Linked DNA regions of Lonchura striata. The protein of the gene in region 2 interacts with the protein of the main gene of each other region in a biochemical or structural test. Links are inferred from orthologs where the notes say so. Each region holds a gene or a part of one and is shown on either strand. Other genes may lie near its edges.

The links.
Region 1: the proteins of RAN (region 2) and IPO5 form a complex in vitro, tested with the Homo sapiens proteins (2 studies listed by BioGRID). The link is inferred for Lonchura striata from reciprocal best matches to the Homo sapiens genes RAN and IPO5.
Region 3: the proteins of RAN (region 2) and RCC1 form a complex in vitro, tested with the Homo sapiens proteins (6 studies listed by BioGRID and IntAct, with this or other methods). The link is inferred for Lonchura striata from reciprocal best matches to the Homo sapiens genes RAN and RCC1.

Annotation. Positions count from the first base shown.
Region 1 is NC_134604.1:77,589,075-77,592,818, forward strand, and holds the start of IPO5 (importin-5), read left to right. Parts: upstream 1-1,096; 5' UTR 1,097-1,171; coding exon 1,172-1,255; intron 1,256-3,744. UniProt on the Homo sapiens protein: Functions in nuclear protein import as nuclear transport receptor. Serves as receptor for nuclear localization signals (NLS) in cargo substrates.
Region 2 is NC_134620.1:14,959,278-14,963,021, reverse strand, and holds the start of RAN (GTP-binding nuclear protein Ran), read right to left. Parts: upstream 2,708-3,744; 5' UTR 2,586-2,707; intron 1,884-2,585; 5' UTR 1,878-1,883; coding exon 1,842-1,877; intron 1,001-1,841; coding exon 916-1,000; intron 823-915; coding exon 697-822; intron 1-696. UniProt on the Homo sapiens protein: GTPase involved in nucleocytoplasmic transport, participating both to the import and the export from the nucleus of proteins and RNAs. Switches between a cytoplasmic GDP- and a nuclear GTP-bound state by nucleotide exchange and GTP hydrolysis.
Region 3 is NC_134628.1:105,422-109,165, forward strand, and holds the start of RCC1 (regulator of chromosome condensation), read right to left. Parts: upstream 2,229-3,744; 5' UTR 2,140-2,228; intron 1,939-2,139; 5' UTR 1,895-1,938; intron 1,813-1,894; exon of another isoform or gene 1,608-1,812; intron 1,467-1,607; 5' UTR 1,425-1,466; intron 1-1,424. Other genes in the region: PHACTR4 (phosphatase and actin regulator 4), read right to left, coding at 3,731-3,744. UniProt on the Homo sapiens protein: Guanine-nucleotide releasing factor that promotes the exchange of Ran-bound GDP by GTP, and thereby plays an important role in RAN-mediated functions in nuclear import and mitosis.

The DNA.
Region 1 (3,744 bases), on a different chromosome or scaffold from region 2:
ATGGGAAACAGCTCTACAAAGAAGGACCTGGCGATGCGGGTGTACAATGAGCCACCAGCGCCCTTGCGGCCAGGAAGGCCAATGGTATCCTAGGGTGCATTAGGGAAGAGCAATCCCAGCACATCAGGAGAAGTTGTCCTGCCGCTCTGCTCAGCCCTGGTGAGGCCGTATCTGGAGTACCGTATCCAGTGCTGGGCTCCTCAACACAAGAGGAATACGGAGCTCCTGGAATGGGTCCAGCAGAGGGAGATGAGAGGACTGGAGCAACTCTCTTACAAGGAAAGGCTGAGGGAGCTGGGCCTGATTGGTCTCGAGAAGAGATGGCTGAGGGGGAACCTCATTAATGTCTATCAGTATCTGAAAGGAGGGTGCCACGATGTTGGAGCCAGGCCCAGCTCGGTCGTGCTGAGCAATGAACAGGAGACAACGGGCAGAGGCTGACACACAGGAAGTTCCACCCGAACATGAGGATGAACTTCTTTACTGTGCGAGTGACTGGGCACCGGAACAGACTGCCCAGAGAGGCTGTGGAGTACCCGTCACTGGAGATATTCAAGAACTGTCTCCATGCAATCCTGTGCCGTGTGCTCTAGGACGACCCTGTCTGATCAGAGAGCTCGGACCAGATACCACCGTGGTGCCCGCCACCCTGACCGGTTCTGTGACTCACTGATTCCCTGTGGCGGGACAGCAGCACGACGTCACCGAGTGTCCGGAGGCGACGCCCCGCGCTCTCCCGCGCTCTCCGTCCCCCCCTTCCCTGCCCTCCCCCCGGCCCGGCCCGGCCCGGCCCGGCCCCAGCTCCGCGTCCCGGCGCGACCCCTCCCAGCCCGCGCCGCCCGACTGCGGCTCCGGCCAATCCCGCCGCGGCTGCCGGAGCCGCCCGCCAATCGGAGCGCTCCGCCGCCCCTGCCTCCCGCCCCCGGCGCGGCGGCGCACCAATGACACGCGAGGAGACAAACCCCCGCTGGGGGTCGGTTGAGCCGCCGCTCCCCGCTGCCCGCCTCGCCCGAGCCGCCGGGACGTCAAAGGGAGGCAGGGCCAATCGGGGGCGAGGCTCCGTCCGCCGCGGCCAATGGGAACGCAGCTGGCGTTAGGCCCTGCCCCCCGTTCCCCCGCCGGCGGCGCGGCCGGCGCTCCCCCTTCCTCCCTCTCCTTCCCTCTCGCAGCAATGGCGGCGACGGAGCAGGAGCAGTTCTACGCCCTCCTCGGCAACCTGCTCAGCCCGGACAATGCGGTCCGCAAGCAGGCCGAGGTAACGAGGCCGCCGCGTTAGCGGCCGCCGAGACGGCCTGTCAGACCCGCCGGGCCTCGTTGGAGGGCGGGAGGGAGGGAGGGAGGGAGGGAGGGGGGCAGGGAAGCGGCGGGGCCGGCCGAGCCCCACGTGTGAGCAGCGGCACCAGCTGCCGGCGGGGCGGCCCGGGACTGGCCCCGATCGGGGCGGCGGGGCCGGGACGTGGCGGCCGTTTTTCCCGGCGGGCGAAGGGCCCGCGGCGGCCCTCGGCCCGTGAGGGCGAGAAGGGTCCCGTTACTCCCCTCGGCGCCCGCCCCGGCGTGTCCGGCGCCGCTCTCGCCCCTCGCCCGCCTCGAGGCCGCCCCCGCCGTGGCCGTGTGGGAGCGTCGCCAGGGGCGGCTGGTCCCCGTTTTCCGCGGCTGGCTCCGCCTGAGCCGCCCGGCGTGACGGAGCGCGGCCCCGGCCCCGCCGCGCAGGGCGGGCGGCGAGCCGGCGGCGGCGTGTGGGGCCGGCTCTCGGTGGCTCGGGAGCGGAGGCGTTCCCCGAAGGAGGTCAGAGTGGTGCCTGCCGCGATGGGAGCGGTCTGGTGTGCGCTCCTGAGGCGGCCCTCGCCGGGGCTCCGTGCCCCCGCCCCAGCTGGGCCGGCAGGAGCGGGACCGAGGTCCTTCTCTGTTGCCACGCAGGAGTTTGGTTTTTTAACTTTTCGGAACGGCCCCGTATGTGTTCAAGTGTTTCGTCAGCTAAGAAGTATTTCATCCAAAAGAAGTGTTTCTAATATGCTGAGTTTCTCTTGTTATCAGCAAAAAGTTTTCAGACGTGTTGTTTCAGCTGAAATTCTTTGTGGCGGCTAAGCCACGTTAATTCTTTCTCTCTGTCATGCTTAAGGCTCCATTGTCAAGCCTGGTGGGGAATCTCTCCCGTTGAATTAAATACCAGCGTCTAGGTTTAGCATGAATTCCCGCTGCATGGCTGCATCGGGTCTTTTATCACTCTCATCACTCCAGCGGTCAGCAGAGTTCAGTGCATTGTTTGGTGAAGAATAAAAAGCATTATTCCTGATGCTACAGTGAAAATGCCTCAAATATGAATCCCGAGTGAGAAGGGGGGGAGACATACATTTTTAGAAAGCTAGTGAAGTTCGGTATTGATAACTGCACTTTCTAGAGCGTCAGCAAGAATTATTCCCACATTCCTGAACATAGAGCTGCAATGGAAGCCATTCCCTGGAAGATGAATTTCTCTCTCTTCTCAACTGCCTACATATAACCTAAAAACATTTTGCTTATTTATCGGCACTGAATTTGTCACTAGTTTCTGAATATTTCCAAGGTGTGCTGCAAATTATTTTATGGTTTAGGATCATTCATAATGGAAGTGTCCTCAGGAGGTCTGCTATGCTCAAAGCAGTGTCAGCTCTCGGGTCAGATCAGGTCACTCGGGGCTTTGTCCTAGTGGCTCTTGAAAACCTCTGAGAGTGGAGACTGCACGAGCTCTTTGAGTTACTCACTCCTGCTTGACTTGTCCTCATTAGGACAGAAAGATCTGGACCTCTTGAAGTCTGAACCTCCTTTTTCTCAATTTACACCTGTTGTCTCTCATTTTTCCACCATGCATGGCTGTGAAGAACTCCAGTTAGTCTTTGTGGTGGGTTAATGAACTTTCACCTAGAAACATAAATCTGTCTACAGTGTAGCTAGACTGTCTTAAATTGTATGGTTTTAAGTAACATTTTTTTGGATAAAAGTGTTGCATAGGCTTTAAAATATTTGCTTCCTAAAATCATACAGGACTCATACTTGATTTTAAATATTGGCATAGTCCGGTCAATTTTTCAAAGTGTACTTATTGTTGGAAGGTAATATGGAATAGATAAAGTATTCAAATAACTGCAGGTAAATTGAATTGCAGGTTTTCATTTGTATCCAGTGAAAATCAGTCAGAATGAAAAATGGATAGACAGGAAACTGAGCAGACTCAGGTTATTCTAGATAGGTTTGGTCATTGAAATGAGAATGAAGAGTGTTCAGCTGAAGACTGAACTTGAGATGTAGAGTCATATCCTGTTTGGGAGGATTGTAGTAAACGATGTTAAAAAAAAAAAAAAACCATGAGGAAGAAAGCCTGATGACACCAAACTCAGTTGATGTGAATGGATTTATATGTGTATTGTCTGTTCTTGTGAGACCCCACCGCAGTACTCTGTCTGCCTCTGTGGCCCCTTACACATGAAGGACGTGGACGTGTTGGAGTGGGTCCAGAGGAGGGTCACAAAGATGGTCAGAGAGTCTGGACAGCTCTCCTGTGAAAGACAGGCTGAGACAGTAGGGATTGTTCAGCCTAGAGAAGACTGGAGGCACCTTAGAGCAGTCTTCAAGTACCTAAAGAGGACCTGCAAGAAAGGTTGAGAGGGGCTTTTACAAGGACATACAATAGTAGGACAAGGGGCAACAGCTTTAAACTTGAGGGGGCAGGTTTAGATTAGATATACAGAATAAATTCTTTGCTGTGAG
Region 2 (3,744 bases):
TCTATCCCTGAGCAACGTGGCATTGCACCATGAGACTATACAGACTATGGAAGCCAGTGTGGATGTACCCAAATGCCTGGCAGAATCAGTTTAATTCATCTCAGAACTGGTTTAATTCATCTCAGACATGCCAATAAGGCTTAAAGGTAGGCTGAGAGCCTGTGGTCCACATCTCAGGATACCCGTGTCCAGAAGGGCTTCTCAAGGACCTCAAGAATACTTTACGAAAGTAAGATACACTAAAGATGTGCAGGGTGAGTGAAGAAGCAGGGGACAGGTATTTGCCAAGCAGAAAGAACACTGCACATTTTCAGAAAGACAGACTCTGGCATGAAGGTGTCCAACTGCATCATGGTATTGAAAATCTCAAGTTTCTGTGTTCCAAGGCCTTGCCTGAGCACAGCAATCCAGACAGAAATCTGCACTTACTGAAGCACACGTTGTCACCCCTTAACCACCGAGTGCTGCCAGTGCTATTGGTCATTCCATCAATACCAAAGCCCACAAAACACGCTGAAACACAACCTTACTGTGTTCCCACGTTGTCTGGCAAGGGACATTATTCTCTCCACGTAAGAGCTTGAGTTCTACGCCAGCTCATCACTGCAGCCACACTGACAGCTTGCAGCGCAGCCAGCATGAGCAGAAGGAAGGACTGAGCTGTAAGAGGTACAGAACTGTCCCCCCAGATCTTACCTTGGATATAGTAGCCATCACGCAGGCCACCAAACTTCTCCTGGCCAGCTGTGTCCCATACGTTAAATTTAATAGGGCCTCTGTTAGTATGGAACACCAGAGGATGAACTTCAACACCCAGTGTTGCTAGGGAAATAACAAAAAGCAGTGCATTTAGCAAGTCACAGATTGTATTTTCATTTGTAAGATACTGGAGCTCAAATGTTTCTTCAGACATACCTACATACTTCTTTTCAAATTCACCAGTCAAGTGACGCTTTACAAATGTTGTTTTACCAGTGCCACCATCACCAACCAGAACAAGCTGAGGACAGAAAAAGGAAGAGTCAGAGCAATGCATCTTGAGACACTTATCAGTCATTCCAGCACAGATACTACTCATTACTACAAAGAGCACAGCTCCTACAAGGTGCTGTAAACAAAGACAGAACTCCCCATGAAGCAGCTCCCTGTGCTGGGAACCAAATCTGTTAAGTCCACCCATCATGCTGTAACTCTGATCAGTCTTATCCAGCCCTTGTAGGCAAGGGCTGCACTGCAGAATATTTAGGGCTTTCAACCTGACTGTAACCAGATTCCAAGAGGAAATTATCAAAACATCCACTGGAGAAAACCTTTGCTACCTTAAAATTAAAGAACCCACCAACATTTGCACCATAAACTGAAACACACTAGTCAAGAACTGAAAGAAACACAAGTAACAACCTTCAAGAAAGAGTCTTCAGGACTTCTGGCTGTTAAGGTAACAAAAAGATAACCACCACCCCACCAGCCACTCAAAACACCAGAAAATTCCCTTCTGAAACACTTGCACCATTAGCACATGACAGAAAGCAAGCTACTCTAATTCACTCTGGGCAGCTTCAGTTCTTAAATTTAAAAATCATTCTGTAGGTAAAGATTCATTGAAAGCTATCAGACTGAATTACAGATAAAATAATGACACAAAAAAGAATTTAGAAAATAGTTTAATAGAGTCTTTTTGTGCGAGTTGTATTCAACACTTCAATAAATCGCCCCATTAAGGGAAGACCAGCAGTTCAAAACCAAACCCACCATCCACGTAGGCACTCGAGAGTGGTTTGTGTCACTTTTCTAGCGAAGGGAGAAAAAGCCCCGAAGGAAAGCGGGGCAGCGCGGCTTACCTTAAACTGCACTTGCGGCTCTCCCTGGGCGGCCATGCTGCTCTGCGGGGGAAATGGCAGCGTGAGCAATGGCAGCGTGAGCGGGCGAGCGCGGCGCGGCAGCGGCCCCGCCGGAAGGCGCCGCCCGCGTGCGGCGGAATGGCGGCGCGCCGCCGCCCGCCGGGCCCCGGCCCCGCTCCCGACCCGCGCCGGGCCCCCCGGCCCCGCTCCCGACCCGCTCCCGGCCCCCCGGCCCCGCTCCCGACTGCGCCGAGCCCCCCGAGCCGGCATCCCCCCGAGCCGGCATCGCCCCCGAGCCGGCACCCCCCCCGAGCCGGCATCCCCCCCGAGCCGGCATCGCCCCCGAGCCGGCATCGCCCCCGAGCCGGCATCCCCCCGAGCCGGCAGCCCGCCGCCGCTCGGGAGCCGCCGCCCGCCCTGCGGCGCTGCCGCCGCGGCCGGGCCTGCCCGCCGTCAGCCACCATGACAGAGCAGCGCCCCTGCCCCGGCCGGGCGGGCCGCGGGGGCCCCGCCGGCGGCCCTCGCACCGCCCCCTCCCCGCGCACGGCCGCGGCCCGGCGGCCCCGCTCGCGGGGAAAAGCCGCCACGCGCCCGGGCCCCGCGGCCGCGACGCTCCCTCAGGCACGGCCCGCCCGGCCCGGCCGCCAACGAGCCCGACCGCCGCCCCCGCTCTGCAGAGCGGCCGGGCGCGCCCCGATGGCGGCGGGAGCCGGGCCGGGCCGGGGGGCCGGGCCGGGCCCGTACCTCTGCCGAGACTCTCCGCTGCTCGCTCCGTGCGGGCGCAGGGAAAATGGCGGAAGCGCCGTTCAAATACCCGGACGGCGGCGGCGCGCGGCCGCGGGCGGGGCGGCGCCGCGCGTCACGTGGTGCGCGGCGCGCGGGAGGCGGCGGGAGGCGGGGCAGGGCACCGGGGAGAGCGGGTATGGCACCGGGGAGAGCGGGTATGGCACCGGGGACAGCGGGTATGGCACTGGGGAGAGCGGGTATGGCACCGGGGACAGAGGGTATGGCACCGGGGACAGCGGGTATGGCACCGGGTACAGAGGGTATGGCACCGGGGACAGCGGGTATGGCACCGGGGACAGCGGGTATGGCACCGGGCACAGCGGGTATGGGACCGGGTACAGAGGGTACGGCACCGGGGACAGAGGGTATGGCACCGGGGAGAGCGGGTATGGCACCGGGGAGAGCGGGTATGGCACCGGGTACAGCGGGTATGGCACCGGGGACAGCGGGTATGGCACCGGGGACAGAGGGTATGGCACCGGGGAGAGCGGGTATGGCACCGGGCACAGTGGGTATGGCACCGGGGAGAGCGGGTATGGCACCGGGTACAGCGGGTATGGCACCGGGGAGAGCGGGTATGGCACCGGGGAGAGCGGGTATGGCACCGGGGAGAGCGGGTATAGCACCGGGTACAGAGGGTATGGCACCGGGGACAGAGGGTATGGCAGCGGGGACAGAGGGTATGGCACCGGGGAGAGCGGGTATAGCACCGGGGAGAGCGGGTATGGCACCGGGGACAGAGGGTATGGCACCGGGTACAGAGGGTATGGCACCGGGGACAGCGGGTATGGCACCGGGGAGAGCGGGTATGGCACCGGGGACAGAGGGTATGGCACCGGGTACAGCGGGTATGGCACCGGGGAGAGCGGGTATGGCACCGGGGACAGAGGGTATGGCACCGGGTACAGCGGGTATGGCACCGGGGAGAGCGGGTATGGCACCGGGGACAGAGGGTATGGCACCGGGTACAGAGGGTATGGCACTGGGGAGAGCGGGTATGGCACCGGGGACAGCGGGTATGGCACCGGGTACAGAGGGTATGGCACCGGGTACAGAGGGTATGGCACCGGGGAGAGCGGGTATGGCACCGGGGACAGAGGGTATGGCACCGGGGAGA
Region 3 (3,744 bases), on a different chromosome or scaffold from region 2:
CTGCTTATCGACAGTGATTCCAGGGGTCACCCACAACCCATGACCGGAAAAGCTTCGAGGCATCACCATCGATTTATTTATTCCAGGCCCATGTGGAGCTTTGATGAACAGATACACAGCCACCCCCTGATCCTTTCCCGGGGGACTGCGCAGCCAAGGACAGGACGTCTGGCCAACTGCTGATGCCCATTCCACCCACCCCACACCAGCACTTCCCCCAAACCCACCCCACTCCCCTTTCCAAGGGAAGGGGAAACCCTGTAATGCCCTGCCCGGCTTCCCCCCACAAGCTACACCCCGGGGTAACAGACGCCATCAACCCCTTCTTGACTCAGCCCTTAATATGAAGCGTTTTCTTCCCTGAGATAATCCAAATCCGGATTTAAATTACGAATCTGCTTCCCAGTCCAGCCCCAAGAGTGCCACAGAGCATTTCTGCATCATTTACTTTGAGATTGGTCAGCACCAAACAAGAATTGTATTTCCACGCAAGAGGCACCACGCCGAGCATTAAGTTTTCATTAATATTCAGATCATTCACCAAAAACACACAGCAAGCCAAAGCTAAATTCAGTTTATTGTTTTGTCTACTGTATACAGGTACAGATTTACAAATAGAGAGAGAGCTGTATTTCAGGGCCTGAACACACAAACTGCTTCCACTCACATCCTATATACGTCGGAATCAGCAAGGTTGGCAAGTGCAGCCGCAGGAGAGCACACGCGGTATCTCCTTAACCCTTACGATCCCCCCCACTCCCCTTCCCCAGTTTTAAGCATCCCAAAAGCAGCTCTTTGCTGGACCAGCCAACCCCTCACGCCGGGAATTGTCCCTCCTTCCCGTGCAGCTTACCCATACCGCGTGCACCTCCAGGCCCTGATCCACAAAATCCAGGAACTGCGCTCCAAGGACGTGTTTTATAAAACCACTGGATTTATACATCCTTGGTTCCACCACGTTTTGATTTCTGTGGCTACGTTTTAGTCACACGTAGTGCACTAACAGTACTCGGGCAACTACCTAATTTGGGCACTCTTTAATATACTCACCCCTCTTCCACGGATTTTTCCTTGTTACTTCACCCCAGCAGTTTCTGCAATATTCTAGGAAAAATAGAGCGTTTTTTTCCTGCCTGTTCCTCGTGTCCCACAATACAGCAATTGTGTTTTAAGTTTAGTACACAAGTTTATCTCTAGCCATTTTTTTTCCTGTTTGCCAAGATTCATGATGGCTTTTTTTTTTTTTCCCCCTTCGAGACTCAGGAGTTTCTTTTCCCCATCCATCCAAAATCGAACACCATCATCGAAGCTAGAAGCCTGCGATCTGAACTGACATTACTACCGGATTGGGATTTTATTACTGTCCCATTTTTTTAGAAACATCTTTGCAACTACACACAATATTACATTTTAAACGCAATTACCTTCAAAAATCGTGTTTTACTCCAACTTTTCCGATATTGGCACTGGAAATAATGAAAAAAAAGGTACTTTAAGAATTTCTCAGGTGCTTGTGTTTTTCTGTTTCTCCCTCCCAGCTCCGCATGTGTTCACCGTCCCACCCCGCGTGTCAGTGTATTATCAACAGTTTCTAACCGATTTTTAAGAAGTGTTTCCTGCATGGTTTGTCTCCTCTGTAACGGCCCAAGGGCTCAGAGAAGAAGTAGGAATATGCAGGCTGCAGGCTCGGGGCCCGGCTTGCTCTCCAACGTCGTGGAAAGGGACTGTACGTCACGGGCCCGAGGGCCTGCGCTCCCGTGCGCCACACGGACAGAGCCGAGAGAGAGCGACTTCTCCGGATATCCACGTTGGACCTTTACTTTTAACTTTTATAACCATCCTGATCCCCCCAGGCCCCCGCGCGTCCCAGGCCACGGCAAGCATGGATACTCACGCTGCAGCGGGCCGCACAAACCAAGCTTGAAGAGACTTTGGAACCTGTGGGAAAAGAAAATGGCTGTGAGGGGCGGCTGAGGTAGCGCCGCAGCACCCGCAGCCACGTGTAACTCACGGCGTAGTTTAGCGTTAAAACCAGGATGGAGCGGGCATCCGCTGACAGCGCAGGACCTCACACCACAGCAAGAAAAGGGATTTAAAGGGTAAAAACGGCAAAAAGGGTAAAACTAAATGGCACCTCACCTGTCAGCTCCGCCGCTCCCCACGGTGAAAAAGGCCGAGCCTCGCCGCGCGGCGTTTTTTATAGCGCGCGGGGGCGGGGCCGAAACCCGCGCAGGCGCGTCAGGCGCGAGCGGCGGGGACACACCGTGTATGGGCAGAGGCGCCGGGGCCGCCGCGCCGCGGAGGGCCGGGCCAGCCGCGCCTGCGCAGCGGCCGGCAGGGCGGTTGGCGCACGCGCAGTCGGAAGGGCGCGAAAAGCCTGAGGGGAGGCGCCGCCATGGCGGACCTGCCCCCCTCCCCCTCAGGAGCCCCGGTCAGGCTCCTGCTGAGATCAGCTGAAAAGACACGGCTGCACAAGCAGGGTTTAAGAAAAAGAATTCTAAAATACTTTTATTTAATAATTAAAATCTGTTGTTGCGGAGACTGATATACAATGTAATGGCGGCTGTACAGGGGATGCTGTGAGGGAAGAGCCCCCAGCGGCTGCTGGGCCATAGCCGGCGTGTTGCCACGCTGGTCTGTGAGCAAGACAGAGTTCTTCTCTCCCTCCCGCCCTCCCGCACAAGTGACATCTCACCGATAGTTTAGTTTTGTGCATAATACAGCAGTGGCCCTACCGGATTTTTTTTTTTTTCAACCCGCATTGAGGAAGAATTTTTCTCTCAGAAGAGAAATACCATCTTTTTAAGGTCACTTTTTAAACCTATTCTTCCCCTCCTTTTGATCCACACAGTGAAACGATCAAATTTCCAGTAGGTTTAGCTGTAAAAATGAGAAAAAGGCAACCTTCAACCCTGATTTGGGAGAGTAAAAAACATTTGAGAGAAAGCCACAATAAAAAGGACTGACTACTCTCACAGTTTCTCCTAATTAAAAAGTTTTAAAAAGGCAACAGTCATTGTTCCTGGTTCTGTAATTTGTTAAACAAGCCTAAATATCTCTGGATCTGTTATTAAGATCAGAGCAAGTGTGAGAGTGCAGAGCATTTACACATATGTTGGGTTTTTTTCTTTTTTTTTAACAAAAAGATGCAGCATATGTTAATATCTATACAATTCCCTTCCAGGACAACAAACCGTTGGTCAGTAGTGATTCAGGGCATTAACGACTTGACAGAAAAGAAAACCTCACAAAAACCACCGAGTGCCATGTCAGCCGTCTGCCAGGGTTCTCTGTACACAGCTAATATACACATACATGCTTCTGAGCACATGCTCTCCTCAGCTTCCCAACCTTAGAGCTGCCTTTGTTTTTAATCTCCCTTCCTCACAGAAAGGAGGAGGAAATGAGGAATTGCTCTCCCCAAGACAAGTCTGTACAGCTTGGGAAGGAAGGGGTCCTTCCCCTGGACACGGTCTCCTGGCAGAGTCATATTGCTGAGCCACGTGAGGTATAGTGTCAGTTCCAGCCTGATGGCATGAGAGATGTGTTTGCTCCAGTGAAATGCTACATTCAGACAGGATTCCCCTTCCCTGGCCAGAAGCCCTTTTCTGGATATGTTTGGAAGGCAAATCTTGGAAGAGCTGAGGTTCCACCCTCACTGTATTGCCTCAGAGGGGGATGCAGAGAACTCTTCCAGCCCTCCCAGGTTTCTTGCTCCCTCCTTGGAATATTATGGTCGATGGT